Macaca mulatta: one gene and its partners. The protein of the gene in region 2 binds, or shares a complex with, the protein of the main gene of each other region. Links are inferred from orthologs where the notes say so. Each region holds a gene or a part of one and is shown on either strand. Other genes may lie near its edges. The genes, in order: HDAC3, TBL1X, GPS2, CORO2A, ZYG11B and ZER1.

Region 1 (5,515 bases), on a different chromosome or scaffold from region 2:
CAACGGCTCATGCCTGTAATCCCAGCACTTTCGGAGGCTGAGGCTGGTGGATCACCTGAGGTCAGGAGTTCAAAACAAGCCTGACCAACGTGGTGAAACCCCATCTCTACTAAACATACAAAAATTATTTGGGCATGGTGGCAGGCACCTGTAATTCCAGCTACTCAGGAGTCTGAGGCATAAGAATCACTTGAACCTAGGAGGCGGAGGTTGCAGTGAGTCAAGACTACACCACTGCACTCCAGCCTGGGCTACAGAGTGAGACTCTGTCTCAAAAAAAAAAAAAAAAAAGAGTGGCCATTTGCTCATAAGTGTTGAAGCTAGGTGACGGATGGGAAGTCACTGCACTACTTCACTTTCTGAAATTTTTGAAATTTTCCCTAATAGAAAGCTTAAAAACAAAAATAAGTAGAATTGAGGAACTGGTGGCTATGATGTTTACTATTTTTTCATGGATGTAGAGGAGAGTGTAAGCAAAGATCATGGCTTATCTTTGTTGTCCACTCCTTTCCCCACAGGGTCTAATCCTGACTCTTCTATGGATGATACCAGCTCAATGTAAACCTAACGATATCAAACCACTCCTTTGTTGTTTTTTTGTTTTCTTAACTGCCCATAGCCCTCTTATGATCAGGACTTTTTAAAAAACTTTGATAGCTTCCCTCTACTCTAGGAGTAAAAACCCTAATTCATAATAGAGCTGTTTACTTTAAAAAGGCCCTATTTCTTTAGCCTCAATTCAGTTCACCTCCTCTTCATATTCTGCACTTGGCCTTTTTTCTGTTCCTCAAATGAGTCATACTCAATCCTACCACGGACCCTTAGCACTTGTCCCTACTGCCTGCTATACTCCTCCCCTCACCCTTCAACCACCTTTCATCTCACTACTTCTACTCTTTTTTCAGATCTCAGCTCAATCTTTACTTCCTCTAGGAAGGCCCCACCGACCAGCCACTACACCAAGCTAAACAATTCTCCACATATATACTCTCATAATCTGTCATATACCTCCTCTTCATAAGACTTAGCAAAAATACAGTATTAAAATTTTGGTTTTGTTCATCACTGCATTCCCAGCACTTAGCACAGGGCCTGGCCTAGAACAAGTGACCAGTAAATATTTATTGAATAAACAAGTAAGTGAATTATGATTCATTGACAAGTAGGCCCCCCTTGAGATCTTCCCACTGCTGCCAAAAGACCTCACTGAAGGGCTTGGCATTAAACTATTAGACATCAAAAGTCCCAGTCCTCCCTCACCAGTCATCGCCTACGTTGAAGGCATTAAGACTCTTGGTGAAGCCTTGCATATTGGTGGGGCTGACTCTCTGCAGGAAGTCAATGTAGTCCTCGGAGTGGAAGCGGCACATGTCATGCTGGGAGGCCTGGTATGGCTTGAAGACCTCGGGATGGAGACACAAGATGAACCTAGCCAGGGTCAGCCCCACTCCACAGGCTCAGACCACCCATACTGAACCCAGCCCTGGAGACTATATGAAGCCAAATATAGCATTCCCCTCATCCCACAATCCTTAAGTCAATAGAGAGACTCCAATTAACCAGGTGAGTTATTACGAATGAGCCCCCTGAAGACCATTTCTTTTCCTTTCCACCTCCAGCTCAGCCTATTGTACCTTCTCAACTTTGAGCCCTGATCCACCTGCCCTGTTCCTTGGATCTCCTATTCCCAGTTCTCTCCACGCTCATCTCCTCCCCCAAGCTCTGATTCTGTCCTCTTTCCTCCAGATTCTTCTTTCTGGAGTCAAATATATGGCATATATGTCAACTTTCTAATTAAAATCAGAAGTTTACTATCTTTGGAAGGTCGGGGGGATGTGTCACATCTCTTTGAAAACTGGACAAATTTTCTCCCAGAAAATGCACACAGGTACATATAGGCAAACAATCTCAAGGGATAAAGATTCCTGCACTAACATCACCTCAGTCTTTTCTATGACCAATCTATTTGTCTGTGCCTGGGCACAAGCAATGAACATTCATTCATATTGTTCACTAGCTTCCCTAGCAACACATAAAGCCTGGGCTTAGCTGTTTTGTCTTATTTTTTCTTTTGAGACAAGGTCCTCCCTGTCAACTCAGGCTGCTGATCATAGCTCACTGTAACTTCAAACTCCTGGGCCCAAGCCATCCTCTCGCCTCAGCCTCCCAAGTAGTTGGGACTACAGGCACACCCACCACACATGGCTACTTTTTTTATTTTTTATTTTTGTAGAGATGTGGGTCCCACTGTGGCCCAAGCTGGTCTCCAACTCCTGGCCTCAAGCGATCCTCCCATTTCAGCCTCCCAAAGTGCTGGGATTACAGGCATGGGCCACTACACCTGGCCTGGCTTAACTGTTACTATGCCATATCACAGCCATAAATTCCAAGCTGGGAAGACAGCATGTGTATGTCTGGGAGATGAAAAACTGGATAGCGATTAAGTAGAACCATGTAGAGGTATTCCGGGCTGAAAAAGGAATACCTAAGATATCTCCTCTCTTCCACACGCACATACACATTTAGAAACACGGTAGTATCGTCCCACCCTGGAGCCCCAGCTCCTTGGAGGTAAAAAAAAGGTGGCAAAAGAGGAGTGGGAACTGAGGGTAAACCTTACACCCTGATACAGTGATATCCGCTCCCCTAAACCTAATTCCTGAGGCCAAGGCCCTATCCACACTCTAAAATGCAGAGGAGGAACACTCCTTCTGTCTTCAAACCAGCCCCCACATCACCTTAACCCTAGGCCAAGGGCTAGGGTGCCTACAGTCAGAGGGTGGCCGACCTGAGCTGAGAAAGTACTTTCCATTAAGCAGAGGACGCCACCTCCAACACCCGGCACTTTCAAGATACTCCGGTGTCTTCTATCCAGCTCCCCGCTACTCTAGGGGCTGGTCGCACTTGATGCACTCAGTCCAGCCCACCTATCCCTTCCGCCACAGCTCGCCCCACCCCCCCCCAACCCCCGGCCGAGGCGGCGAAACTCACGATCATCTTCTTATAGAGACCGTAATGCAGGACCAGGCTATGGGTCAATGCCAAGCGATGGGGCTTCATAGGGTGTCCAGCTCCTGGGGGTGGGGAGAAAAGAGTTCGTCAGCTCTCACCCCTGGAGTTGCAACCCCCGCCTCAAAACCTCCGCGTCCCAACCCTCATGCATAGCCCTGTTTCCTCACCGTAGTGGAAGTTGCCCACGTCGGGGTCGTAGAAATAGGCCACGGTCTTGGCCATGGTGCCGGCGGGAGCAGGCCCCGCGCCTCCGCCGCCCGCCGCCCGCCGCCCGCGGCCCGCCACCCGCCACCCGCCGCCAACCCCGCCCCAGCCGTGCGTGCTGCGCAAGCACGTAGCCTGCCTCTGCGGAACTGGGCGTTGCGGTCCCGCCTCCAGCCACACCCAGGCCACGCCCCCGGGGGAGCTCCGCCCCTCGCCTGGCTCCGCTCTCCCGGGAGCTGCGGCTTTGAGCGTCCCGGGTTGGGCGGGGAACTGGTAGCATCGCTCCTAGGATGCAAGGGCCATTTCTCTCCGGCCGGGGGTCAGATCCTCGGGAAGCTGAGCCATCCCATCCAGCCGCTTGCCCCAAACCGGGCGCAGGCCGTGGTCACTTCTCTAGGAAGCTCCGAAGATCCCGCCACGCCGTCCCTCAAAGGTGCGGAAAGCCGGCTTCCCCCAGCCCTCGGGGAAGATTCCTGACTCTCCGCTTGGTCGGGGCATCTGAGGGCAGGAGCTGCGCCAGGCGTAGCGGATAGACCAGTGGACAACACCCACGCCGGACCTCCTGTCCCCTACCCGGACCTAGACTCGGCGCCACACATTGCCCCGGGGGGGCCAGGCGCAGTCACGCGCGCGCAGAGCTCACGCTCTCCGCCCCGCACACCTGCGCTCCGCCTCCTGGTCCTGGGCCCGCGACGGGCGAAGGCATTTGGGAAGCCAGGGCGGCTGCGGAGGCGATCTCCCTGACCCAGGGCCGGAGTTGCCCAGAGCCTGCCGCCGCTCTCAGTCAGCCCGCATCCTTCTCTGTCCTTCCCTCCCCCCGCCTGCCACGGCGCGGGTATCCGCAGCCACAGCCCGGGGCCGGTGAGGCGGCGAAGGGGGAGGGGAGGAATCAAGGGATGAGCGCCGGAAGGGCGTCGGGGGCCCCGAGCCGCACTAGGACGCCCCTGGAGCCGGAACCTGAGCAGAAGCCGGAACCAGAACCAAATCACCGGTACCGGGTGGGCCAGGTGGTCAGGGTGGGAGAAACCAAAAAGGGAGAGGGGTGCGGGAGTACTGAGAGGAGGGGGCTGCAGAGGCCTGGCTCAGGCCGGCGCGGAGGAGGTGCGGGCGCTGACTCAGGCACGATTTCTGCTCCCGCCGCCTAAGAATTCCGTCCCATCTCGTGCTGCAGTGTCCTTGGGAGGGACGGAAGCGCGAACGAGCTGGAAAGGGGAACGCTCGGGGCGTCGGGGAAGCGGGACCAGGGTCGTGGTAGAGAGCTTGCGTAGCCGCTGACCTCTTGCCTTGGGCCGTATTGACGAAACAGCACCCCTGGCCCGGACAGCTCCCTGGTTGGGTAGGGGGTGGAGCCGGACCTTAGCCGAACGTCTTAGACGTGCTTGTTTCAGATCCTGAGAACTGCATTCCTACCCCTCCCCCATTCCCAGCTGCAGCCTCCTAAACCCAGGAGGCGCCCTGGCCCGCGCTCGCCCCCCAGGGCCTCATGTCGGAACCACAGCCTGACCTGGAACCGCCCCAACATGGGCTGTATATGCTCTTCCTGCTTGTGCTGGTCTTCTTCCTCATGGGCCTGGTAGGTTTCATGATCTGCCACGTGCTCAAGAAGAAGGGCTACCGCTGCCGCACGTCGAGGGGCTCCGAGCCTGACGATGCCCAGCTTCAGCCCCGTGAGTGGAGCCTGGAACCCTGGCTCAGTAACCTTTCACCCTTCTCCCCACACCTCTGCCCCTCACCTCTGCCTCCCTGACCAACAGACCCAGGCCAAATCCTGATCAAGCCTGCTCAGGAAGCTTAGTGATGCACTCTTGAGTTAGCAAGTGGGGTGACACCACTCTGAAAGCAAAACTAGAGAAGGCAGCATGGGCAGCAAGGGTCCTCTGGATGGTAGTCTTGGGCTTGCATTGGTGTCCCCATCTTTTCTGGTCCCTGAAATGCTGAGGTCCAGCATGATAGCAAGTAGGTAAAAGGGTATGTCCTAAGCAATAAATGATGGGAGCCACCAGGTAATGTTCCCCCAAAGCTGACTCATTCCTGCTTCCTTGCCAATCTCTTTCATCCTTCAGCTGAGGACGATGACATGAATGAGGACACAGTAGAGAGGATTGTTCGCTGCATCATCCAAAATGAAGGTGGGTCTAGCATAGCCCCTTGCTCCCTCCTTCTCCAACCTTCTCTTGCCCTGACCTCCACCTTCACTGACTCCCTCTTTTCCTTCTTCCCTCAGCCAATGCTGAGGCCTTGAAGGAGATGCTGGGGGACAGTGAAGGAGAAGGGACAGTGCAGCTGTCCAGGTGAGCTG
Region 2 (4,883 bases):
GTCTTCGGCTTCACCCTGACATCAAAGAGCACAGCCCAACCAGCCATCTAGTTTCCTCTTTTTCTCACTTTGCCTTTTTCATTTATATAAAACCACAGCCCTATACCACACATCACCAGCCACCCTCATCCATATTTCGTTAAGAAAAAAACCTTCCCTGATAGGAAGGAAGGCAAGTGAAGAATTCACGTACCATAAAACGCAGCAAATAAAACCAGTAAAACCAGTTACTTTTTAAATTGGCCTTTCAAAATCACTTTCCTATGCACTTTTCTTTTTCAGACAGGGTATCACTCTGTCTCCCAGGCTGGAGTGCAGTGGCAGGATCACAGGTCCTCGCAGCATGAACCTCTTGAGCTCAAGCAATCCTCCTGCCTCAGCCCCCGAAGTAGCTGGGACTACAAGCAGGCACCACCATGCCATTTATGTATGTACGTATGTATTTATTGTATTTTTATAGAGACGGGGTTGCCCAAGCTGGTCTTGAACTCTTGGGCTCAAGCGATCCTCCCACCTCGACCGCCCAAAGTGCTGGGATTACAGGTGTGAGCCACCACGCCAGGCCTCTTACGTACTTTTAGTGCAACAGTTCCTCCCCGTGACCACACCCATTAGAAGATATTTCTCTCCTGCAGGCGAGTGGAGATGGAGGGAGGGGTAAATACGAGAAGTGAACCTTCAGCTATTGTGGAGTTCAAGCGGGGTTAGGACTGATGCAGGTGGAAGATGGGCAACCCAAATGCACACACAGGCGGACACACACATGTGCAAGGACAGTGAGAGGCAAGTGCTGAGTGGCACAAACGCACACGGCACAGGCAAAATCCTGGCTTGGGGTTCATGATCGGCACAGCTAGGTGGCAAAAAGCGCAGACTTAGGACACCTGGGGACCACGAGACTAAACCCTGCAGAATAAAGGTGAATGAATGTACCCGGGAGCCAAGGGAGACAGGGACACTCCCGAGACAGGCATGTATAAAAGAACCACCTGTGGCAAAGGCTCAGCTGGGGAACAGCCTGCCCAGGAGAAGTGAGGGGACATGGCGTACCAGCTTGGGGCTCCCTCGGGCCCCATATATCCAGTACAGTCCCACTATGTGACACCTGCTGTCCCGGCCTAACAATTAACTAATTTCACACTCATGCTGGAGAGGGGGCTGAGGGGTGTGAGTACACGCACGCATAGGTGTCTGTGAGTGTGAAATGTGTGTGCCAAGGCCAGCAAGGGTGGCTCTGACTGCAGCCATTCAGAGGAAAACCTACGGGCCCAGGAATGTGGAGCCGCTCACCATGGGCCGTCCCTAGCCAAACCAACGCAAAGGAACAAATAACTTCCTGGGAGCGGATCCCTCACTCTGCAATGCAAGCCCAAGTTCCTGGGCCACGTCCAGAGCTGGCCCATGGGTCTCCACTCAACCCCACTGAGCTAGAGCTTTGTTCAGGGCCATCAGCTGCATTAAGACCCACTTAAAGGGCCAAGGCCTGTGCTGGTGGCAAGGTCCTGGGCAGGACACCTGGGAACCACAGAGAGTGTGTGCAGCTGGTAAAAATTTGCAGATAGTCCAGGGTTAGAGGAGAAATAAGTTTAGACTGGGACAAGAGAGTCAGTTTGGAGCCAAACAGATGTTAACAGGACGATGGGTGCCTGTGCTCTAAAAGCACCTTCCTTTGGGACAGGGACCCCTGGGCCAGGGGCAGGGAGAGGTAGACACTAGGAGAATGAGGACAAGGGAATTTACATTAGTTAAGTTAGTGGCACGATGGCAAATCTCCAGGGCCTGTGATCATCCTCCCCTGCTTTAACAGGGAACCCCCCGCCACCGCGGAGATATTCTGGGTGCTAGTGAGAGAAAGCCAAGATGCCATGGTCCCAGCGTTGATGCACTCTGCATTTTCTGGGAGAGGCAGACATGCAGGCCAGCAGCTACTGCCAGGGCTGTGGCATTCACGTGGTCAATGGGAGCTCAAGGGGTGCCATGAATCCTCCCCAGGGCGTGCAGAGGATACGTGAACGGGCCTGGAGAGTGGGGAGGATTCTGTTTCAGACCAAGAGCTGCTGTGGTTCCAGGCAAGGCTCAGCGTGGGGCAAGGTGCTTGGCTGTATGTGTCGTTGGGAGGACAGAGGTACAGGGCATTTTTGGACACTAGCCCAAGGGCCCAGGAAAGGGAGGCTTTCTCCTCCTGCCAAGGTTGGAGGTCGAGGCTAGTGAATGGGTCTACCAGCAGATTGGAGATTGCAGAAGGTTAGAGACCACAGAAATTGGCTAATCTGAGAGAGATTTGGTGAAAGACCGGGAAGCCCTCAGAGGCCACACTAAGGAATTTGCTAAGTCAGCTGTTGTTCACACTGTCGTTCCCTGGTATATCATGGGTTTTTTTGTCAGTCTCTGCTTGCCTTTAGGATTTTCTCTGTCATTGATTCTGGTGTTTGATGACCATATGCCTAGGTGGACAGGTGTGGTTCTGTTTATATTTGTTCTGCTTGAAATTTGCTGAGCTTCTTGGATTAAATGTTGATGTTTTCCACCAAATTTAGGAAACCTTGGCCGTTAGTGCCTCACATGATTTTTCTGTTCCATTCTTTCTTCTCTCCCCATCACACATATAGGTTTAGGGTCCCTGATATTGTCCCGTAAGTCATTAAGCCTTTATGCAATTTTTCGATCTTTTATCTGTTCTTCAAATTGGCCAATTTCTATGCTTTCTAACCTTACTTCCACAGTCTCCCATCTGCTGGTATACCCACTGATGTGCTTTAGATCTGTGTCCCCACCGAAATCTCAGGTGGAACTGTCATCCCCGATGCAGAGGTGGTCCCTGGTGTGAGGTGTCTGGATCATCTGCTACTCCTCCCACCTCTTGCCCCTGCTCTGGTCATGTGTGATGCCTGCTCCTGCTTCACCAACCGCCACGGTTGGAAGCTTCCTGAAGCCTCCCCAGAAGCAGATGCTGCCATGCTTCCTGTATAGCCTGAAGAACTGTGAGCCAGTTAAACCTCCGGTCTTATAAATTACCCAGTCTCAGGTATTTCTTTAGAGCAATGAGAGAATTGAGAACTGCCTAATATACCCACCTATTAAAACTTTCATTTCAAACATTGTATTTCTCAGTTCTCAATTCCTTTTTTTTTTTTTTTATGTTTTAAAGAAACAGGGTCTTGCTCTGTTGCCTAGGCTGGAGTGCAGCGGTGCTATTGTAACTCACTGCAGCCTTCATCTCCTGAGATGTGACTACAGGTGTGCGTCACCATACGCAGCTAGCTACTTTTAAAAATTTTTTGTAGAGACAAGAGTCTTGCTATGTTGCCCAGGCTGGCCTCAAACTCCTGGCCTCAAGCAATCCTCTGGCCTCAGACTCCCAAAGTGCTGGGATTATAGGCATAAGCCACCACACTTAGTCTCCATTTGTTTTTTAATGACATATCTTTTTCCATTCACTGCAGATGTGCCCCGTCTATTCATTCATTGTGAGCACCGTTTCCTTGATGTCCTCTACATGTTTCTCATAGCTACCTTAAAGGCTTTGCTGCCAAATCCACCATCTAGGTCATTTCTGAGTGAACTTCTCACTGCTGACCCCAAACTGGGTCAATCCAACCACCTTGGCTCAAATAGCCAAGGGGCGCAGAAGAGCTGGTCTGCTGCTGCAGTATCTTTTAATTCCAGGCACACAAGAATCGGCTCCCACATCACATTCTCACGAACTCGAGATCAGTGACAAGAGCTCTCACTTACTGTGTGTCCCTGGAAGGTTTTGACTGGGCGGTCACAGCCGAGCCTGCACACGTGGATACACATGTCTGTGCTACAGGAGGCGAAGGTCATGTTGTTCTGCCAGTCCACATCAAGGGCAGGGGCTGCAGCAGGGAGGGAGAACACCTGCAGTTATTCACTGTGTGCACAGCTCCATGGATTTACAACAATGAACAGCACAGTCAAGAAGCCTCTTTAGTTTACTTATTTATTTATTCTAGAGACAGGGCCTGCTCTGTCACCCAGGCTGGAGTGTAGTGGTGTGATCATGGCTCACTGCAGCCTAGAATTCCTGGGCTCAAGGGATCCACCCACCTCAGCCTCTCGAATAGCACACGCCACCACGCGTGGCTAATTTTTTTTTTTTTTTTTGTAGAGACGAATTCTTGCTATATTGCCCAGGATGGCCTTGAACTCCTGACTTCAAACTATCCACCCGCCTCGGCCTCCCAAAGTGTTAGGGTTATAGGTGTGAGCCATTGCACCCAGCCAAGAAGCCCCATTTAGTGACATGATAAAAACATCTCAAGTGTGAACACAGTCTCTTTCTTTCTAAGACTTTAAAGACCCTCTCTTGCCACACTGGCAGGGATGACAAGATGTCCTGGGAGAGAGGCTCCATGACACTTCCTGCACCCCACGGCCTGCAGAATCTCCCGCTCCCATGGCACAGTTAAGAAGGGCAGGTGAGAGGGCCACCCTGCCTGCTCTGTACCTTGCTGCTTCCAGCGGCATCTCTAGAGTGAGCTTATTTGATTTTAGACAGAGAGGAGAAAATAGGAGAGGAAAGATTTCATGTCCTATGTTCATGATACCTCAATATGAAAAATACTCTCCCATAACACATTAAGGCATCCCCTTAACTATGGGATAATTAGAGTCAATAAGAACCCCTTTGGGGACGAAATGGGACGTGTGCTTCAGGGCCTGTGACCAACACCCTCCCTCACTTTGGGTCTTTCCAAGTCCAGGTGGCTCAGGGTCACAAAGACAGAACAACGGGGAGCTGACCTCCCCTTGTCGTTTAGTTACAGCTATGGGTCTCATTCTCTACCTTCTGATTTCTTTTCTAGGATGGCAGCTGGGAATCCAACAACTTCCCAATGTACCAAAATGGCCAGGGCACTCGT
Region 3 (5,381 bases), on a different chromosome or scaffold from region 2:
GACGTTTTATTTTGGTTTTCCCCACCCCTTCAATCTGTCGGGGAGCCCCTCCCCTTCACCTAGCTCCCTTGGCCAGGAGCAAGCGAAGCCGTGGCCTTGGTGAAGCTGCCCTCCTCTTCTCCCCTCACACTACAGCCCTGGTGGGGGAGAAGGGGGTGGGTGCTGCTTGTGGTTTAGTCTTTTTTTTTTTTTTTTTTTTTTTTTTTTTTTTTTTTTTTAAATTCAATCTGGAATCAAAGTGGTGGATTCTGGCAAATGGTCCTTGTGCCCTCCCCACTCAGCCCTGGTCTGGTCCCCTGTTGCCCATAGCCCTTTACCCTGAGCACCACCCCAACAGACTGGGGACCAGCCCCCTCCCCTGCCTGTGTCTCTCCCCAAACCCCTTTAGATGGGGAGGGAAGAGGAGGAGAGGGGAGGGGACCTGCCCCCTCCTCAGGCATCTGGGAGGGCCCTGCCCCCGTGGGCTTTACCCTTCCCTGCGGGCTCTCTCCCCGACACATTTGTTAAAATCAAACCTGAATAAAACTACAAGTTTAATATGAAGCCCCCAACTCAGCTGCTTATTTGAATTAAATGGGTATATTTGGAAGCTACAAAAAGACTGAACTCTGCCACTGAGTTCATGGAACCCGCTGTCTATCACTGACTTGCTGTGGACCTGCCAGTCATCCCCCCACCCCCCAAGCAGCCTTGACCTATTCCAGACAGTTGGGTGGGAGGCAACACAAACAGCAGCAGCCAGGGTCAGTGGCAGGTAGATTTTATTGGCCTGGGACACACGGGGGGTATCCTCACCCACAGTGGGGCAGGGGGCATGATGTTGAAGATATAATCTGATCGTCACTTGTGGTAGAATCGCGGGTTCTGGCTGTGTTGGATGAAGGGGAGCCGAGGGCCAGGTTGGCTGGTAGCTGCAAAGCCCGACTGGCGGTGGTGATGAAAAGAGGGCTTTGTCACTGGGCGTACTCTCCCACTTAATGCCCTACTGGTAACCACCCCCAGAGAGGAAGAAAAACCAGGTGATGTGGGCCACCGGTCCTACCTAATCCTGCTTTTCTGGATCCCTAGTGTAAGGATTCTGACAGGTAAACTTTATTATCATTCTTACCTTTCCTGCTGGTTGCATCTGCACAGGGAGCTGTGGGGAAGCAAGGAGTCCAGGGGCTGGATGCAGAGCCTGGGGGTGCATGGGGCGCAGAGAGGACTGCAGAGAACAGAGTCAGGGCCTGAGGCATACTGAAGCTCCCCTTAACATATCCCTAACCCTGACCTCCCAAGGTGCCATACTCACTGAGTCGGAGAAGCCAGTCTGCTGGTTAGCATGTTCCATCTGCTTTTGCAAGGACAGGGCACCACCAGGCTGGAGGAAACCTACGTGGGGAAGAGGGGCATGTGAGATGAGAATGAAACAGGGAGGGGAGGACCCAGAGAGCTAGAGCTCCTGCATGGGATGTTATCACCTGTCTGAGTGGGCTGAAAGTGGCCGTGCACGGCATAGGGCTGTGGCTGTGGCTGAGATAGGTACTGCACTGTAGGGAATGCTGAAGGAGCTGAGAAAGGAAAAGACAGAGCCATTAAAACCTTTTACTCAATGGCATTCCTCCTTTGACGTTGAGGAAGGCCAAGCCCCATCCCTCCTATTACTCACCTCTGAGCTGCTGACTAGGACTATAAGCTGGCTGTGTGGGCCCATAGTGAGGTGGGGGCTGAGCAGTCCCATAGGCACCACCAGGACTGCCTTGGAATTGTCCATGCTCTGGTGTCCCCGCAAAAGCAGCTGCTGAGCCCACATAGTGCCGGGTCTAAGGAGGGAGAATGAGAATTCGCCTATAAACTTGAAAGCTGAAACCCAGTGACTTGTGTATATCTGTATGCCGCATTTCCCCCTAAACTTAAGTGCTTGATATGTTTGTGACTTGAATACTGGTGGCAAGGATGCATGGATGGAAGCAGTAGGGGCTGGGCATCCAATCCTACTCTCACCGTAAGCACTTGGGGTCCAAACATTTGTTTGGCTCTGTCAGCTGCCATGAGGGTGCCTGGGCGATTGTGTCCTCCAGGGCTCCCTAGAAAGGGAGAAGGGCTTCATGATGCTGAAATGGGAGGCTGCAACCTGTAAGAAGGCCGGTTCCATCAGGTGGTCTCTTTAGTCCTCACCCTGCATGCTGAGGAGATGAGTTCCTGTGTGGACAGTCAGGCTCTGCTGGTATGCAGCTGATGTCAGGGTGGTCAGGTCACTGGAGTGAGAGGAAGGCAGGTCAAAGCTAAGGACAGATGCCTTCTCTTTCGCCATTAAACACTAGTTCTTTTATTACTTGATCCCAGTTCCACTTGGCCCCCATTTCAGTTTTTAGCACTCTGATCCCACCTCTGTTCCTTTCGCCTCCGTTTTTCTTCCTCATGTAAAACTTTCTTGAGCTGCAGGAAAAGCTGATGCTTCTCTTCCTGTAGGGCCAAAAGCTTCTCCTCCAACTTCAGAATCTGGGAGGGAGTGGGAAGAGAAGATGAAGGCAGGGAGAGTCAAGGGAAGAAATCAAAGCTGGGAGAGTTCAAGGGACTGCTTACTTGTTCCTTGGTCTCCTCTAGTGACATTCTCTCTTCCATCTCCTTTTTCTTCCTTCTCTCCTGTTCTTCCTTCATCTTCTGTTCCATCATCTTATCCACCTCTTCTTCCTCTGGAGAATCAGGCAGAATGAAGAAGAGGCAGGGTAGTGAAAACAGTTCCAACGTTAGATTGAAGACCAGCAAAACCCAGTCATCCCAACACGCCTGTGCGCTCTTTGCCTCGAGGGGACAAGCTCCCCCATCGCTGCAATAGGGAACGGAGAGGCTTTATCAGGTGCTCTCCAAGGTCCTTCCCGTCTCAAGGGTTCTGGAGCGTGGACCAGGACGCTTAAATCCCACCACAACGGGGCTATTCCTTCCCTCCTCTGCGCTCGGCAGCGGGCTCACTGGTTGGCCGCTGGGTTGAGGCCAACCCTGAGGTACAGGAGCCATTCTGGGCCGTGTGTCCCCCCGCTATGGCCCCGGCTCACCCTGCCGCTTGCGCTCCCGCTCCATCATAATGTGCCGGTGCAGCGCCCTGGCCATGGCGTTGGAAAGCTTGGGGCGCTCCAGGAGTGCGGGCATGGTGCTGCCGTGGGCGCTCGGGCCGTGGGCGCCCGGCTCTGTCTCTGACTGCCAGACCTCAGACGGCGCCTGCGGGGAGGCGGGCGCTCAGAGGGGACCGCGCCCGGCCCAGGCGGAAGCCCGTCCGCCCGACCCGCTAGCCGCCCCGGTCACGTGTCCCAGGAGCCCGCCACCCGGCCGGGCCCGCAGCCCCCGCTCCACCGCGCGCACGGGCGGCGCCGGGATCCCCGACTCGGTGCTGCCGCTCCCTGCCCAGCCAGCCCGGACGCCAGCCCTCCCTACCCGCCTTCTCTGCGCTTTCTCAGCAGCTCCGGCGCGCCCTGGCCCGTACGTCACATCCGGCGGCCCGGCCAAGTCCTTCCGGAGTCACGGCTGCGGCCGACCTCACGGGTTGGGTGAAAGAAAGCGGAAGCGCGCTGCGACGGGTGCCCGCGGCGTCCAAACCCCGTAGCCGGGAACGCGGGCGACGAGGGCTGTAAACTGGTCTTGGCATCCTCAGCTCTCTTTAATTTCGCGGGCCCACCTGGTGGCACCCCAGGGGACGCGGGCTCCGGGGAGGGGCGCGCGAGAGAGAGGCCGAGGCGGAGGCTCTGAGACGGTGTTTATTGGCTCCTTAGAAATCAGAGTCAGTAACAACTGTACAGAGGCCCCCATCTTCCGTGCGCCCACCCTTCCCCACTCCTGCCCGGTGGCCCCGGAAAAAGCAGCTTCATGTGGGCACAGGGAGAGACTCCTCTGGGATTCACAGTAACCAGAAACAAAAACGGAAATAAATTAAGTGATGTGGGGAAGGGGAGTAAAAGGGAGTCATGTTCCCCAAATCAGTGCATGAAGAGGGGTACCAGGGCCTGGAGCTGGGCTCCCACGGCTCCTCCCATCAGACGGAGTGCTGGGCCTCCAGACATGGAGCTGTGCCACTTGCCACCTACATCTGAGAGCCTGCCTACATGCTCCTGCGCGGCTGCCAAGCTCCAGCACCTGCGCATGCCACGAGTCACGGGAATGAGGTGGAGGCAGTCGCCAGAGTCCATGGGCCCGAGGCCCGACTGTGCTTGTAGTATTTGTGTGTCACCCCTCATTCCACCCGTACCAGCAGGGCATAGAGGAGTGTGGCCCCCTTCTCCTTAGTGACCCACTCAAGTTCGGCTGGACTGAAGTGAGGGTCAGGAGGTTCTCCAAGGGCAGCGGAAGGGGGTCCCGGGGTGTAGGAGCCAGGGCGCACACACACCTGGAACGCCACCTGAGCCTGGTGCGTCCGCTGGGATTTGGGGTCCCGGAATCTGTCAAACAGGAAAAAATAAGGGAGTGAAGCTTCTCTCCCCATCACCTCCCCCTTGCAAAGTCTGTTCCAACCACACAAGCCTTGCTGTACCTAGGAAATACTCCCGCCTTATAGGAGCTTCACTCTAGCTGTTCTTTCTACCTGAAATGTTCTTCCTCCCAAAGCCTGCTCAGCTACACCCTTCACTTCCTTCTTCAAGCCTTTGCTCGAATCTCTCCCACCTTCTTACGATGCCCACACCAGCCACACTGCTGTCTCCTTCGCCCCCCTCTTTCCTACGATGCCCACACCAGCCACACTGCTGTCTCCTTCGCCCCCCTCTTTCCTACGATGCCCACACCAGCCACACTGCTGTCTCCTTCGCCCCACTCTTTCCTACGATGCCCACACCAACCACACTGCTGTCTCCTTCGCCCCACTCTTTCCTACGATGCCCACACCAGCCACACTGCTGTCTCCTTCGCCCCCCTCTTTCCTACGATGCCCACACCAACCACACTGCTGTCTCCTTCGCCCCACTCTTTCCTACGATGCCCACACCAGCCACACTGCTGTCTCCTTCGCCCCACTCTTTCCTACGATGCCCACACCAGCCACACTGCTGTCTCCTTCGCCCCCCTCTTTCCTACGATGCCCACACCAGCCACACTGCTGTCTCCTTCGCCCCCCTCTTTCCTACGATGCCCACACCAACCACACTGCTGTCTCCTTCGCCCCACTCTTTCCTACGATGCCCACACCAGCCACACTGCTGTCTCCTTCGCCCCACTCTTTCCTACGATGCCCACACCAGCCACACTGCTGTCTCCTTCGCCCCACTCTTTCTTATGATGCCCACACCAGCCACACTTCTGTCTCCTTCGCCCCACTCTTTCTTATGATGCCCACACCAGCCACACTGCTGTCTCCTTCGCCCCACTCTTTCTTACGATGCCCACACCAGCCACACTGCTGTCTCCTTCGCCCCACT
Region 4 (5,442 bases), on a different chromosome or scaffold from region 2:
AACCCAGGGAACCTCCCTGGGGCAACATCCCTAAGAATAAAGGGACTGGGTCAAAGGAGGTGGAAGGCCCCCCTCCCAACATTCCCCAACAGAAGAGGTACTCACTTCCAGAGATTGCCCATGTTCAAGGCTGCTATCCTCCAAACACAGAGCGCCAGCCCCCAGGCACTGTCTCCTCATTCTTTCTCAACCCCCTCCCTCATGGACATGGGGCCATATCGTACAGAAAGTTCCACGTGGGGCATATAGATGGAGAACTTGTCCCCCACCCCCACCCCACACACATATGTTCTGGTCCTACACAAGATGTTTACCTACACATGGAAGATTAACAAAGCCGGCCATTGGGCTCGGTGGCTCACGCCTGTAATCCCAGCACTTTGGGAAGCTGAGGCAGGCAGATCACGAGGTCAGGAGATCAAGACCATCCTGGCTAACACGGTGAAACCCCATCTCTACTAAAAATACAAAAAATTAGCCGGGCGTGGTGGCGGGCGCCTGTAGTCCCAGCTACTCAGGAGTCTGAGGCAGGAGAATGGTGTGAATCCAGGAGGCGGAGCTTGCAGTGAGCCGAGATCACGCCACTGCTCTCCAGGGTGGGCAACAGAGTGAGACTCCGTCTCCAAAAAAAAAAAGCCAGCCATGTGGGTGCACTGGGAAGGAGGAAGAGGGAGGTTTCCTGGCCCATCCCAATCCACACTAAGGCCTAATAGAAGGTGCTAGCAGATGGGCCCAACTTTGGAACCAGACGTGCTATGTGGTTTTCTAGCTAGGGGATCCTGGGTAGGTCATGACCACTGTGGCGTCAGGTTCCCCATGTGTGCAATCCTGAATCTCGGCTCACTGCAACCTCCACCTCCTAGGTTCAAGTTATTCTCCTGCCTCAGCCTCCCAAGTAGCTGGAAATACAGGCACATGCCACCACACCCGGCTGATTTTTGTATTTTTACTAGAGATAGGTTTTCACCATGGTGGCCAGGCTGGTCTTGAACTCCTGATCTCAAGCAGTCCACCTGCCTTGGCCTCCCAAAATGCTAGGATTACAGGCATGAGCCACCGCGCCCAGCCATCCATATGCTTCTTTGAAAGTTTAGATACCCAACTCTTGCATGCTAACACCAGAAGCATGCGTTCAGCCTGCCTGCTGGGCAGTCCGACTCCAGAAGGCCTGAATCAGAGCTGTAGGCTGAGGGTTTTCAGGACCATACTGCACACTGGGCTTTAGGTGGTAGGCAGGGAGCCCGTCCATCTCTGGGCAGGGGAGTGGTGCAGTGGACTATGAAAGCTGAGTCACATTCTAAGGAGAGAATCAAGAGCTCCCCAAGTACCTTGCCACTCCAAGCCTCAATTTCTTATCTGTAAAATGGAGGTAATAATAGTGGCTAAATAAAGGGGTTGCTAGGCTTAGAAGAAATGATACAGATATGTAAAGTAGTAATAGTGTACTCTGTCATCCACTCCACAGCTATATATTGAGTGCCTACTATGTGCCACGGAGCAGTTCAAGGCCCTCAAGATAACGGTCTTTACTGAACAAAACCAAGAGCTCTTCGGAGACGTGGTGTGGTAGAGTGGCTGTGAGCTTAGCAGCCCTGGGAGCCATACTGCCTGGGGTCGCATGACTAGCCGTGTGATCTTAACCTAGGTACTTAACCTCTGTGTGCCGCAGCTTTCTTTTGTGTTAAATAGGTGAGTAATGGTATCAACCTCATAGGCCTGTGTGACAGTGAATGGAGGTAATGCACAGAAGGCGCTTAGAGCAGTGCGTGGCTCAGTAGTGTTCGGTAGGGGTGGTACCCAAAGGTAGGGCCTCCCCATTGTCTAGTGTCCTCAGGGCTCCCCAGCCGGCGAGGCTGGGCAGCAGCGCCCCCGCTGGTCCCGAGAGAAGGAAGGGCGTCCTCCTCTGCTCCCAGCGGCGCTCCCGGCTCCTCTCCTCCCTGCGGACTGGGAAGCCTCGGTAACAGCTGTAACTGCTCGGGGAAAGGAGCGCTTCCCCGGTCGGGCTCTGCGCGCGCACTGTACCTGTCCGGGATTGTCACATCCAGGGCTCAAACAGCCTTAAGAGGCCGACGCGGTTATTGTCTCCATTTCACCACGGGGGAAACTGAGGCTCCCGGAGGTCAGGTTCCTCATCCCACACCACGCAGAGAGGGCACGGCGGGACGTGGGGCCGGCGGCTCTGCTTGTCCCCAGCCTCCGCCTGGTGGCCAGCAACCCGCCCCAATCACTGCGACGTGTGCGCGCCTGCTCCCAGCACGTGTGCGCGCCCCGAGACCCGCCCCGGGAAGCCAGGAGCGCGGTTGGGGTCGTGGGGGCGGAAAAGGGTGGCCAGGGCGGACCCGCGGGGCGGGCGAGAGGGCGGACCTTTGGCCGGGCCCCCGCCCCGCCTTCCAGCCCCGCCCGCCGGGCTGCAGAGGGAGGCGGCGGCGGCTCTGGGCGCCGGGAGTCGGCGGGCGGCGAGGAGCGCGGAGCCGGAGCTGGACGCCGCCGCCGCCACCGCCACCGCCACCACCACCTGCGCGGCCGTCATCAAGGTAGGGCGGCCCCGCGCCGCCGGCCGTGCCTTCCCGGTCTGCGCGATGGGGACGTCGGGCGGGACGTGCGCACTGAGCCCCCCGCGGCTTCAGCTCTCGGAGAGGGAGGGATGCGGGGCTCGGCGCGCGGGGGACCTGGCTTTCAGCCCCTTTGCGTGACCTTGCACAAAGCACTGCTCCTCTTCAGGCCTCAGTTTCCCCGTCAGGATAGCGGGCTCATTGGTGGCCCCCTTCTCTCGGGGTTGTTGGGAGGGGCCGCCCCGAGGTCCGCGCTCCCGACGGCTCGCTGCCCGCATGAGTACTGTCTGCACCTCCCACCCCTCCAGCCCGCGGTGAGGGAAGCGCACTCTGGGCGCGGCCAGCCGGTTCCTACAGGCCCCTGCTGTGGCCCGGGTGCTCCATGGGACTCTTGTCGGGACCCTCCCCCTCTTGGCTGCGTTACCTGCTGGGCCTCAGCTTCCTGGTACAGGAAACGGTGGGGTGGGGGGCATCCCCGGGTCCCCGCCAAGCCGGCCTGGGCGTGCAGGTGGGGCATCAGCCGGCCCACCAAGAGGGTTTACTCGTCTGGGGCTGGAGGAGCCCTAGGTTGGAGGTGGCTGGACTCCTGGCGGCACGACTGCCTGGACCAGCCCCACGTAGGCACCTCGATTTACAGAGTGGTACAGGACAGCTCCTTCCCCTTCCCCACCCGGGCCAGGTGCTGGTGCCTAGCTCTGTGTCCCAGAGCTAGTGTGTGATAAGGTGTGACACACACTAGCTGGTGTGACAAGGGTTGACTGGCGGCCACGCCTGGACCTCAGAGGGGTAACAATGCCAAGGGGCTGTGTCTGCGTGGTATTAAGGGATGGGACAGAGCACAGGTCTGAGGGACTGTGGTCCAGGCTCCCTAGGTAAAGAAGACCTATGGCATCTGGCCCAGCCCCTCTGTAAGACCCCCTCTGGAAGGTCTTGCTGCCCCCTTGCACACTCCTTGTGATGGGGATCTCATTAGTTGTAAACCAGGCTGGAATCTGCTACCCAGTCACTGCCTCTCCTGCTGGTCCTGCTCTGAACACACAAACAACCTCTGACCCTTCCTCCCTCACCCTGGAGCAGTGATCAGGTCCCTTAAGTATGCTCACCTCCAGCCCCAGCAGTTTCTCCCATCAAAGCCCAGGGAGCCAAGGCAAGAAGAGGGAGCTGAGGTGTCTGCCCCAGAGCAGACTGTGGGACCTCCGCTTTCCCGGGGGTTGTTCAGAACCCACCTGTGCCTCAGAACTGGAATATGTCTCTCGAGCTTCCTGCCCCTCCTGGGGACCTTCTGAGAGGTCTGGAGTGAGGAGAGCCGGAGCCCCTCTGCAGGCCTTTCCTGCCCCATGTGGCCTCCTCTCCACCTGCCTGATGCCTGCCCTTTTTGAGGGAGCGGTGTCTAAGAATCACTTCTCAGCCTTCTGGACTTTCTTGTCCCCTTCATGACCTGCCCCGCACCCAGGGACTTTCTTACAGCCAAAAGAGGGCAGGAGGCCCCTGGACAGGTCGTGAGCTCTTTGTCATCACAGGTATGCAAGCAGAACCTGGGGTGAGCTACCTCGGACTGAAAGTCTGTGGAATTCTAGGGCTGAAGTAGTGCCTATGACCTTGCCCTGCGGCCATGGTGGAGCTGCACAGGACTGGGAGCCGGACCACAAATGAGTGTTATTATCCCCTCGTAAAAGCAGGCAAAGTATACGTGCTGGCCCATGAGCCCAGCTCCGACGCACAGGCTTAAGTGCTACCTGGGTCTCCTGTCATCTCGACACATGTATAATCTGGGCCCTGTTTTCCTGCTTGCCTAGTGTAAGCCTTTTTGGCCTGATTTAGGAGCATGGCAGATTCGGGTTATTAAAAAGTCATGCTATGACTTTAATTGCTAATAGTTTTTAAGTGCACCATGGAATTATGGAATGTCTAAGCTGAAAGGAGCCTTAAGACATCTTCTCATTCAACCCCCTCATTTTACAGATAGGCATCCCCTGTCCCCAGAGGGGATGTGACTGGGCAAAGGTCACACAGCAAACCAGCAACCGAGCCCAGGGATCCTGATTCCAAGATTGGAGTGCCTTTTTTTCCCCCAGAAAACACATAACATTTAATAAATGAAAGGAGGCTGTATTTATTCCTGTAAAATTAGGAAAAATAAAAATAAAAGGATGAAACTCTGCGCTGGCAAGGCTGTAGGGATTCGCCTGTGGCATTTAATTTTGCAGAGCAATCTGGTAGCCTGTTGTCATGAAAATGACCCTACTTGCCCTTTGCCTTTAGCCAGCTACTTTGAGGGCTTTATCCTAAGGAAGTAACTATAGAGAGAGACATATGTAGTGCTGTTATTTGTAAGAAGTTGTCTTCTGGCCTGGGCGCAGTGGCTCACACCTGTAATCCCAGCAGTTTAGGAGGCCAAGGTGGGCGGATCACCTGAGGTCAGGAGTTCGAGACCACCCTGGGCAACATGATGAAACCCTGTCTCTACTGAAAATATAAAAATTAGCCAGGTATGGTGGCACATGCCTGTAATCCCAGCTACTCGGGAGGCTGAGGCAGGAGAATCACTTGAACCCGGGAGGCAGAGGTTGCAGTGAACCGTGATTGCACCACTGCACTCCAGCCTGGGCGACAGAGCGAAACAACATCTCAAAAAAATAAAGAAAGAAGTTACCGTCTAGTGAAGAAGTGTTCAGTGTTTTATCTGAGGCTTAATAAACATTTCATTTGACAAATACAACTTAAAAAAATAGTGGCACTGAAGCTTACAGTACCAGAGTCTGGTCAGCATAGAAACAGTTTAATCCAGAAGAAAGACCATGAGACTAAAGTCAGCAGACATAGATTCCAGGATGAAGTGTTCCTCTGCCCTACCTTGGGCCAATCCGTTCCCCTCTCTGGACCTCACTTT
Region 5 (3,975 bases), on a different chromosome or scaffold from region 2:
CTGTGAAAATTTATCTTATACCTATAAAAATTCCTTAAGCCAATTAAGTCAGCATTAACCCAGTATTTAATATGGTTTTCAGTGACTCTAAATATCTACTTTCTTTTTTGAGTCAGAGTCTCGCTCTGTTGTCCAGGCGCCACCACACCCAGCTAATTTAAAAAAAAAAAAAAAATTTTTTTTTTAGGTAGAGATCAAGTCTCACTATGTTGCCCAGGCTGGTCTTGAACTTCTGGGCTCAAGCAATCCTCCTGCTTCAGCCTCCCAAAGTGCTGGGATTACAAGCATGAGCCACTGCATTTGGACCTAAATACCTACTTTCTTCTTTTTTTTTTTTTTTTTTATTTATTTTATTTTATTTTATTTTTTTTTGAGACGGAGTCTCGCTCTGTCACCCAGGCTGGAGTGCGGTGGCCGGATCTCTGCTCACTGCAAGCTCCGCCTCCCGGGTTTACGCCATTCTCCTGGCTCAGCCTCCCGAGTAGCTGGGACTACAGGTGCCCGCCACCTCGCCCGGCTAGTTTTTTGTACTTTTTAGTAGAGACGGGGTTTCACCGTGTTAGCCAGGATGGACTCGATCTCCTGACCTCGTGATCCGCCCATCTCGGCCTCCCAAAGTGCTGGGATTACAGGCTTGAGCCACCGCGCCCGGCCAATACCTACTTTCTTCTAACTCAATTTTCATTCACATGAAGAAACTCAAAAAAAATTCAAGTCTGATTATTGTGATAATGGTATAAAATGTTTGTCAAAAAATGTCATCAGTGAACTAATAAACTAGCTCCTTTCTAAATTAAAATGCTTCTGAATAATCATTATAATTTAAATATTCCATTTTAAATACCTATTGAAAACACTGGCCATCTATGAAAAAAAAATGTGGTTATCTGCGATTGTAGTAGATTGACCTTATTCACAAAATAAAATTTTAAATGAAAATTAAGTTTCTTGGTGACTTGCTATCTCCCAAGTGCTATTACTGATATAAGTGATTCTTTACTATACTGTATCAGATACCTTAAGGAAAGGTAATTGTCTAAAAAATAATCCATCAAAAATATGTGCTGTTATGCACTGTGAGTAGAGTCATTACATTTAACCACTTAAAAAGTTTAATTCTTTTCTTTCATTTTTGGCAGACGGGGACACTTTCTCCAACATGAACACATTAAGAAGATAGACATATTTTGAACAAGAGATTTTAACTTTTCATGGCAAAATTTACTGGTGTCAATTGTATTTTAACTGAGAGGTTAACACCATGTTGTTGACTCTATTCCACTGAACAAAAATGATTTTGAAATAGAGGAAAAGAATAGCCAGTTTTGACTGGCGATAATTTTTTAAAATCACATTTTCACAACAATACGACATAGGGAGATGTAGACAGTCTTTAACACAGAGTGCTGTAATATTTTATACTGTGGTGCTTGGAGAAATATTCCTAGAGAATAACCAGCAGTCTGTGCAGGAAGCAGCAGTCCACGCTTCTAGGTATAAATATGGAGAACAAGCTTCTGCTCACTGCCTCAAGAGAGGTAGACTCCTGAAGGGTAGCCTGTCTCATTTTAAAATCTACACCATGAAAGCAATTCCCAGTTCCTACACTCCGTTCTCCTTTCATAGTTTTTCTTTCTCATACATCTTTCCACCAGCCATCCAGGCTCCTGCCAGTGATTAGCTTCTACAAGATGATCCACATTTCCCTTCTTTCACACTAAGAAGGACATCTTATAAAAGATACACAGATAGAGAAGAAAGCCATTTTATACAGAAGCAGTATAAAATTTACAACTGAAGCAGTGTCAGAAATCAGGTCAACAGCTTATGTGAAGCTGCAAATTGACTGGAAGGGACTCGAAAAGTCTGGCCTGAGGGTTCGTGCAAACTTTACCATAAAACTGTAGAATCTCAAGCACAAGTAAGTTCAAACACTGAAAGATGTGGAAAATTTCCTAAAAGGCAATGATAAAGGAAGAGACCCTTCTTGACTCATAAGTTAAAAATCACAAGACAAATTAGGGACTGTTCACATGGGCAGTACTATACATTACCAATCCCAAACTGATTTTATGACTCCGGTCATAGAAACCCCCAAAACATCACGGAGGGTAAGATATTCCAAATGGACCAATCACAAAAAGGATTCCTGTAATTCAATTATCCAATACTTATGGCTATCAATTTAGTCTGGCTTGGGGCTGTTTTTTACAGGGAGGTGGCCTCCCATGGCGCACAATGTGTTTTTCTAAGCTATCCAGAATGGCCACAGCAATCTGTTGGACATGGGGATCAGTATGTTCATGATCTTTGATGTTGTATAAATGCTGCAGTCCTCCTTCTTCAATCAGCATGCTGCAATACCTTGAAGCTGGAAAAAAAAAAAAAAAAAAACACCACAAAACAGGAGAAATAGCTTTTCTTAAAACACTTAAAATTATTCCACAAAAAAATGACTTCTAGGAGCCATTTTTTTTAGGTGTTTTGTTATTGATTACTAACATGTTACAGCTTGATAAAAACCTCTATACTGAGTTATGTCTACAGTGCAAGGCCTACACATTCAATCAATAAATAGCTAGCTTGCTTTTTCTAACCTCAAGACATACACAATCTGTATTAAAAAAAATAAAAGCAATCTTAACTACCTTATCTTTGACCCAAAATCACAGGTAAGTGTTGTTATATTTTTATGCATTTCCTATGCTTTTTTTTTTTTTTTTTTGCTTTTTTTTTCAGACAGAGTCTTGCCCTGTTGCCCAGGCCCGAGTACAGTGGTGCAATCTCGACTCACTGCAGCCTCCGCCTCTGGGGTTCAAGCAATTCTTGTGCCTCAGCCTCCCGAGTAGCTGGAAATACAGGCACACGCCACCACCCCTGGCTAATTTTTTTATTCTTAGTAGAGATGGGGTTTTACCATGTTGTGTAAACTGGTCTCAAACTCCTGCCCTCAAGCAATCCTCCCGCCTCAGCCTCCCAAAGTAATAGAATTACAAGGCATGACCCACAGTGCCAGGCTGCATTTCCTATGTTTTTTAAAAACCTAATGGCAGTCATACTGCACATACAATTTTTTAATTTTTGAAATATTTTCTTTGCCTTTTTTATTTTTTTTAAGACAGTCTCATTCTGTCACCCAGGCTGGGGTGATCATGGCTCATGCCCAGCGGTGTGATTAGCTTGCTGTGTTGCCCAGGCTGGAGTCCAATGGCACAATTTTGGCTCACTGCAACCTTTGCCTCCCGGGTTCAAGCAATTCTCTTTCCTCAGCCTCCTGGGTAGCTGGGACTGTGGGCACCAGCCACCACACTTGGCTAAATTTTTGTATTTTTGGTAGAGGCGGGGTTTTACGAGGCTGGCCAGGCCGGTCTCAAACTCCTGACCTTAAGTGATCTGCCTGCCTCAGCCTCCCAAAGTGCTGGGGTTACAGGTGTGAGCCACCACACCCAGCCAGGTTAAAACATTTTAATACAAATAGAAGTGAATTCCATTTAAATATAAACAAAATAAGCCCACAAGGTAGGAACCTAAAATATCTTGAGTTGGAGACCAAATATTCTAACATTCCCCAAATTACAGTGCATTTTAGAAGAAATTATTTAGGGCTGTCATTCCATAGAGTAAAATCAAAATAACACTAATACCTAAAAGTATTGACAAAAATAAATACTTGTATGAAAATGAACTATTATTATTATTATTATTATTTTTTTTTTTTTCAGACAGAGTCTTGCTCTGTCGCCCAGGCTGGAGTGCAGTGGCGCGATCTCGGCTCACTGTAACCTCCACTTCCTGGTTCAAGTGATTCTCCTGCCTCAGCCTCCCAAGTAGCTGAGAGTACAGACGTGTGCCACAACACCCAGCGAATTTTTTGTATATTTAGTAGAGATGGGGTTTCACCGTGTTAGCCAGGATGGTCTCGATCTCCTGACCTTGTGATCCACCCGCCTTGGCCTCCCAAAGTGCTGGGATTAC
Region 6 (4,883 bases), on a different chromosome or scaffold from region 2:
CCGAGGTGGGCGGATCATTTGAGGCCAAGAGTTTGAGACCACCCTGGCCAACATAGTGAAACCCCGTCTCTACTAAAAATATAAAAATTAGCTGGGCTTGGTGGCACGTGCCTGTAGTCCCAGTTACTAGGGAGGCTGAGACAGGAGAATCGTTTGAACCCAGGAGGCAGAGGTTACAATGAACTCAGATCACGCCACTGCACTCCAGCCTGGGTGACAGAGTGAGACTCTGTCTCAAAAAAAAAAAAAAAAAAAATTATGGCCGGGCGCGGTGGCTCAAGCCTGTAATCCCAGCACTTTGGGAGGCCAAGACGGGTGGATCATGAGGTCAGGAGATCGAGACCATCCTGGCTAACACGGTGAAACCCCGTCTCTACTAAAAAATACAAAAAACTAGCCGGGCGAGGTGGCGGGCGCCTGTAGTCCCAGCTACTCGGGAGGCTGAGGCAGGAGAATGGCGTAAACCCGGGAGGCGGAGCTTGCAGTGAGCCGAGATCTGGCCACTGCACTCCAGCCTGGGTGACAGAGCAAGACTCCGTCTCAAAAAAAAAAAAAAAAAAAAATATATATATATATATATAATATATATATATATATTTTTAAGATTTTATATATATAAAAATTTTTTTTAAAAAAAAGAATGAGCTCTGGAAATAAATACAGCAACTTCAAACCAAGGAGTCACCTCTTGCTTCCCCTACGTGGATGCAGAACTCCCACCCATGGGGCTGGGCACACGTCTTGCCCCCACCAAGGCCTGTGCCTTCACACCCCCAGCACCAGGATAGTCCTCACAGACAGGGTGGGTTTCTGGGCCTCGGGCTGATCAGAAGACCATCCTGATCCTCTGCTGTCTGCTCCTATCCCACAGCGGACAAGTACTGCCCTCTGCTGATCAAAGAAGGGGGGTTGCCCCTTCTGAGGGACATAATTAAGATGGCGACCGCACGGCAGGAGACCAAGGAAATGGCCCGGTAAGAGACTAGCAGTGTGTTTCTGCCTGGAACCTTGATTTGGGGGAGTAAGGGCATAGCGGGCGCCCTCTGGAGGTTAGGAATGACTGAAATTCCCGGGGCAGCTTGGGGTTGAGTACAGAGGTTGACAGTGTATTGATGTCCAGCTGGGGCCTCTCCAAATGTCATCTTGACCACAGTATGGCTGGAAACTAGATGACCAAGCTCTGAACGGAGCATCAGGGCCCTCGTTTGTAAGCTTCGTTTTATTTTATTCCCAACAAATTCCATCCTTTTATCACCGGGTATTAGCAAGTGAGGTCAGAACTTTTCATTGTTTGGCCAAAGACGTTCCCACTAAAGAAGGGACATGGTATGGTCAAATACATTCTGGAGATGAGACGAGGCAGAGTGCAAGTGAGCTTGCTGAATGTGAAGGTCGCAAACATGGTAGAGTCCCGGCCTTCTGTGGCTGTGTGGCTTTCACTGCAGTGTCTAAAATGCCACTCCCTCCAGTTCTCAAGTCAATCAGGACAGGAGAGACTCTCAGGGATGTGACATGTCGAAATCGTCAGAAACGACCTTGTTTTCTCCAGGATTCATTCTAGAAGGGACAACAGTCAAGCTGACCCAGCACACTTTTTCATGTCTCTGTATAGAGCAAAAGGTCACATGGAGGAGGGGCCTGGAACTCAGAGGCTCCTCAGACAGCCACTTCCTGGGCCCAGGCAGGGAAATGTCACCTGGTTCTATTATATCTGCCCAAAGGCACTGCTGGCCAGGCACAGGGGCTCACACCTGTAATCCTAGCACTCTGGGAGTCTGAGGTGGGTGGATCACTTGAGGTCAGGAGTTCGAGACCTGGCTGACATGGTAAAACCCCATCTCTACTAAAAATACGAAATTAGCTGGGCGTAGTAGTGCGCACCTATAATCCTAGCCACTTGGGAGGCTGAGGCGGAGAATCACTTGAACCTAGGAGGCGGAGGTTGCAGTTAGCCGAGATGGTGCCACTGCACTCCAGCCTGGTCAACAGAGCGAGACTCTGTCTCAAAAAAATAAAATTTAAGAATAAATGGACAGGAGCCACCCCTAGGTTTTCTTTTCCAGTGCATCTGGGAGGTGGGAGGTGGCCCTGGAATTTTCATGGTTAACAGGGATTCCCGGGAAATTTGAGAAGCACTGGGTAAGACTGACCAGTTACCTACCACAGTCACTTTGAACATGTGTCCAAGGCCTGTGATGGGAATCTGAGGCACTGGCCTATCTGACAGCAAGGAGTAAATGACCCTGGATGATGCTTAGGAGAAGGCTCTCGGCCTGTCCACTGGCCCCTCTCCCACTCTGGGAATTTGCTTCCTAAAAGGTATTGGGGCACCCCTTTAACACACAGAGGCTGCAGTGAAGCCCCCAACCCACAGGCTTGGTGTTGAATGGGCAAGCTCTCCGGGTTCCAAGGTGACAACTGACAGTGATGGGTGGCAGGGGTCAGGCTGGGGTGGGTGAGACTTGAAATCTGAGCTGGAGTGCTGGGCCCCAGCTGCCACAGGGTAGTGGGGGCCCTTGTGCGAACACAGCTGTCCCCACCCCACCCTGGACCTGCCACTGGATCCGGGCCTCTGGGGGAATCTGATGTGCAGTCAGTTTGGGGACCACTGGTGGACTTCTGGAAAGAGAAGGGTCTGGTGTGCAGGGAAAATGAAGAAGGAAGAGGTCACTGAAGAAAGTTCCAAAGGGTTCTGGAGGTCAGGCCTGAGCTGATTTGGGGACCCCTATCCACAGATGCCCTGGAACTGGGGGTGGTGGGAAGGAAGGAAGCGGAGGACAGCTGGTGATGGCATTCACGGCCACAGGTGCCATTCCCTGAGTCCCCTGCACATGCCAGCCACTCTGCCAACCCCTCCATCCACATCATTCAGTCAGCATCACCATCACTGTGAACACGTGTTTACCCAGCTGCGTGATGACCTCGGAGGGGCTGGGCTCAACCCACCCAAGCCCACCCTCCAATCCTGTCTCCCTCATTGTCTCCAGCAAGGTGATTGAGCACTGCAGTAACTTTAAAGAGGAAAACATGGACACATCCAGATAGAGGCCTCCACCCCCATGGCCACCACCGCTCTGGACCACAGGCGGGGAGGAAGCGTGCTCAAGCAGCCCAGCGGGCAGTCCCCTTCCGAGGGAGCCCCCCACGGAGTGAAGAGACATGGGGGACTTTTGCACAACCGACGCTTTTCCTTAACATTAGTGAGATATATATATTATATATATATTTTTTTTTTGGTTAGGAAGTGTGAAGTTTTGTGTGTATGATTTCTGTACAAAAACAAAAGCAACACTCCTGAGTCCTTGCAGCTTCCTTGGCCATTCTCAAACCCACTCAGCCTTCATCGCTGACACACTCACTCCTACCCCAACCAGACTAAATGCCTATAACGCTGTGAGTATCCAGTCCTTGTCCAGGAAACTCAGACCCCAGTCTGGCTTCCTTTCATGAGAGGAGCAGGCCTTGGACAGTGTATCCAGCATCCTGACCCACTGCCCATGCCTGAGAACTCCATCTCGGCTCCCGGGCACAGCTGATGGGGTTTGGGGATTAGAACTTACCCCACTGGGTCTCCCAAAAGCCTTGGTGCTCCCAGCTGTGGGCCATCTGGGGCAAGAAAGTGAGCTGTTCCTAGGCTAAGGTCCAGGCAGCCCTGCCCCTGAAGACCTTCCAGGAGCAGGGCGCCCAGTGGCCCTGCTGCTGTCCGGCCAGGCCTGCCTGAGGCCACGCTGCTATGGAGGCTGCCTCCTAGTCTCCCACCAGGTCCCAGGCTGTGGAAAGCCCCAGCCCAGGGATGGTCAGAACTCGGGGGCAGATTCCACTGCCCCTTCTGCCAAAACACATCCAGAACCTGCCCCCTGCCCTGGAAGCCAGCATCTTCTGGGGCCAGGGGCTTGCTTCCTTGCTCCACAGCCTTCAACTGCCCAGGCGCTCCCACCAGCAGAACTGAGCCTGCCTCCTCATCCCAGCCTGCCCCGCTGCCCAGAGGACCCCACGCCTCTCAGAGGCAGAGGTCCCACGCCAGCCTTTGACCCACAGCGGCCACACAGCCGCCTCCAGACCAGCACTCAGACTGCCCTGCAGTGGCTGCTTGGGCCTCTCTGGCGGTCCCACCCTGCCCTCGGCTTTACCTTGGAAGCCTGAGAGGCGCCGGCTCTCTTGTGCTCCTCCCTCGGTGGACGCTGCCTTGCTTCTCATCGGACACTTGTGGATCACAGGGGCCTGGGGAGCAGCGCTAACCCTGGAGGCAGCCTTTGGATGATGGCTTTTTCTTCCCTCTTCCCTCTGCCGGCCTGTTTTCAGGTGTTCCTAGCATTTCCGCCTCCAGGCAGGACGGGATGGGTGAGCAGCTTTGGGAGAGACACCTGGCCTTTTTCTCCCAGAGCCTCTCCCTCCCTGTCCTGGGAAGTGGGCGGCAGCCCTGTGTTCCCCCAGCTTGGCAGATGGGCTGCATGCAGCGCTCCCTTCCATCCCACGCTCAGTGGCCCCGGCCAGACCCTGGCAGAGTTCACACCTCATTGCTTTACCCCCTGGGGCCTGGGGAAATGTCTGTACTTTGGGATGTCACAGAAATACATTTTTGTGCAAAATGGAGAACAGAGCGTCTTTTTTTGTGGAGGGGATTGCTAGCCTGGCTTCCAGGCTCTGGAGCAGGACTTGAGCCACCCCCGGCAGGGGGACGGCAGTGTGGGTAGTTCTGTGGTAGGGAGGGGTGTGTTTGGTAGGTTAAAGGGCTGCAGGCTGGGGACAGGTGGCAGGGGACTGAGCTGGAGTACCTGTTTCCTATGCGTTCTCTTCACATCCCTGTGCCCACTGAGGACACAACTGGCAACCAGACCAACAGGGTGCCTGCCCAGGATGGCTCAGCCTGATGGGGGAGACAG

The links.
Region 1: TBL1X (region 2) and HDAC3 share a complex: the UniProt entries of both Homo sapiens proteins name them as parts of the N-Cor repressor complex. The link is inferred for Macaca mulatta from reciprocal best matches to the Homo sapiens genes TBL1X and HDAC3.
Region 3: TBL1X (region 2) and GPS2 share a complex: the UniProt entries of both Homo sapiens proteins name them as parts of the N-Cor repressor complex. The link is inferred for Macaca mulatta from reciprocal best matches to the Homo sapiens genes TBL1X and GPS2.
Region 4: TBL1X (region 2) and CORO2A share a complex: the UniProt entries of both Homo sapiens proteins name them as parts of the N-Cor repressor complex. The link is inferred for Macaca mulatta from reciprocal best matches to the Homo sapiens genes TBL1X and CORO2A.
Region 5: TBL1X (region 2) and ZYG11B share a complex: the UniProt entries of both Homo sapiens proteins name them as parts of the E3 ubiquitin ligase complex. The link is inferred for Macaca mulatta from reciprocal best matches to the Homo sapiens genes TBL1X and ZYG11B.
Region 6: TBL1X (region 2) and ZER1 share a complex: the UniProt entries of both Homo sapiens proteins name them as parts of the E3 ubiquitin ligase complex. The link is inferred for Macaca mulatta from reciprocal best matches to the Homo sapiens genes TBL1X and ZER1.

Annotation. Positions count from the first base shown.
Region 1 is NC_133411.1:150,478,044-150,483,558, forward strand, and holds the start of HDAC3 (histone deacetylase 3), read right to left. Parts: upstream 3,294-5,515; 5' UTR 3,235-3,293; coding exon 3,180-3,234; intron 3,075-3,179; coding exon 2,992-3,074; intron 1,404-2,991; coding exon 1,261-1,403; intron 1-1,260. Other genes in the region: RELL2 (RELT-like protein 2), read left to right, coding at 4,700-4,883, 5,280-5,345, 5,441-5,507. UniProt on the Homo sapiens protein: Histone deacetylase that catalyzes the deacetylation of lysine residues on the N-terminal part of the core histones (H2A, H2B, H3 and H4), and some other non-histone substrates.
Region 2 is NC_133426.1:9,256,281-9,261,163, reverse strand, and holds part of TBL1X (F-box-like/WD repeat-containing protein TBL1X), read right to left. Parts: intron 3,858-4,883; coding exon 3,736-3,857; intron 1-3,735. UniProt on the Homo sapiens protein: F-box-like protein involved in the recruitment of the ubiquitin/19S proteasome complex to nuclear receptor-regulated transcription units. Plays an essential role in transcription activation mediated by nuclear receptors.
Region 3 is NC_133421.1:8,805,680-8,811,060, forward strand, and holds GPS2 (G protein pathway suppressor 2), read right to left. Parts: upstream 3,447-5,381; 5' UTR 3,340-3,446; intron 3,199-3,339; 5' UTR 3,130-3,198; coding exon 3,036-3,129; intron 2,676-3,035; coding exon 2,566-2,675; intron 2,482-2,565; coding exon 2,369-2,481; intron 2,238-2,368; coding exon 2,158-2,237; intron 2,067-2,157; coding exon 1,984-2,066; intron 1,803-1,983; coding exon 1,649-1,802; intron 1,551-1,648; coding exon 1,461-1,550; intron 1,372-1,460; coding exon 1,292-1,371; intron 1,205-1,291; coding exon 1,109-1,204; intron 925-1,108; coding exon 841-924; 3' UTR 745-840; downstream 1-744. Other genes in the region: NEURL4 (neuralized-like protein 4), read right to left, coding at 4,205-4,409. UniProt on the Homo sapiens protein: Key regulator of inflammation, lipid metabolism and mitochondrion homeostasis that acts by inhibiting the activity of the ubiquitin-conjugating enzyme UBE2N/Ubc13, thereby inhibiting 'Lys-63'-linked ubiquitination.
Region 4 is NC_133420.1:60,209,654-60,215,095, forward strand, and holds the start of CORO2A (coronin-2A), read left to right. Parts: upstream 1-2,201; 5' UTR 2,202-2,534; intron 2,535-5,442.
Region 5 is NC_133406.1:187,814,825-187,818,799, forward strand, and holds the end of ZYG11B (protein zyg-11 homolog B), read right to left. Parts: intron 2,372-3,975; coding exon 2,181-2,371; 3' UTR 1,120-2,180; downstream 1-1,119. UniProt on the Homo sapiens protein: Serves as substrate adapter subunit in the E3 ubiquitin ligase complex ZYG11B-CUL2-Elongin BC. Acts to target substrates bearing N-terminal degrons for proteasomal degradation with the first four residues of substrates being the key recognition elements.
Region 6 is NC_133420.1:18,925,833-18,930,715, forward strand, and holds the end of ZER1 (protein zer-1 homolog), read left to right. Parts: intron 1-871; coding exon 872-974; intron 975-2,987; coding exon 2,988-3,045; 3' UTR 3,046-4,566; downstream 4,567-4,883. UniProt on the Homo sapiens protein: Serves as substrate adapter subunit in the E3 ubiquitin ligase complex ZYG11B-CUL2-Elongin BC. Acts to target substrates bearing N-terminal degrons for proteasomal degradation with the first four residues of substrates being the key recognition elements.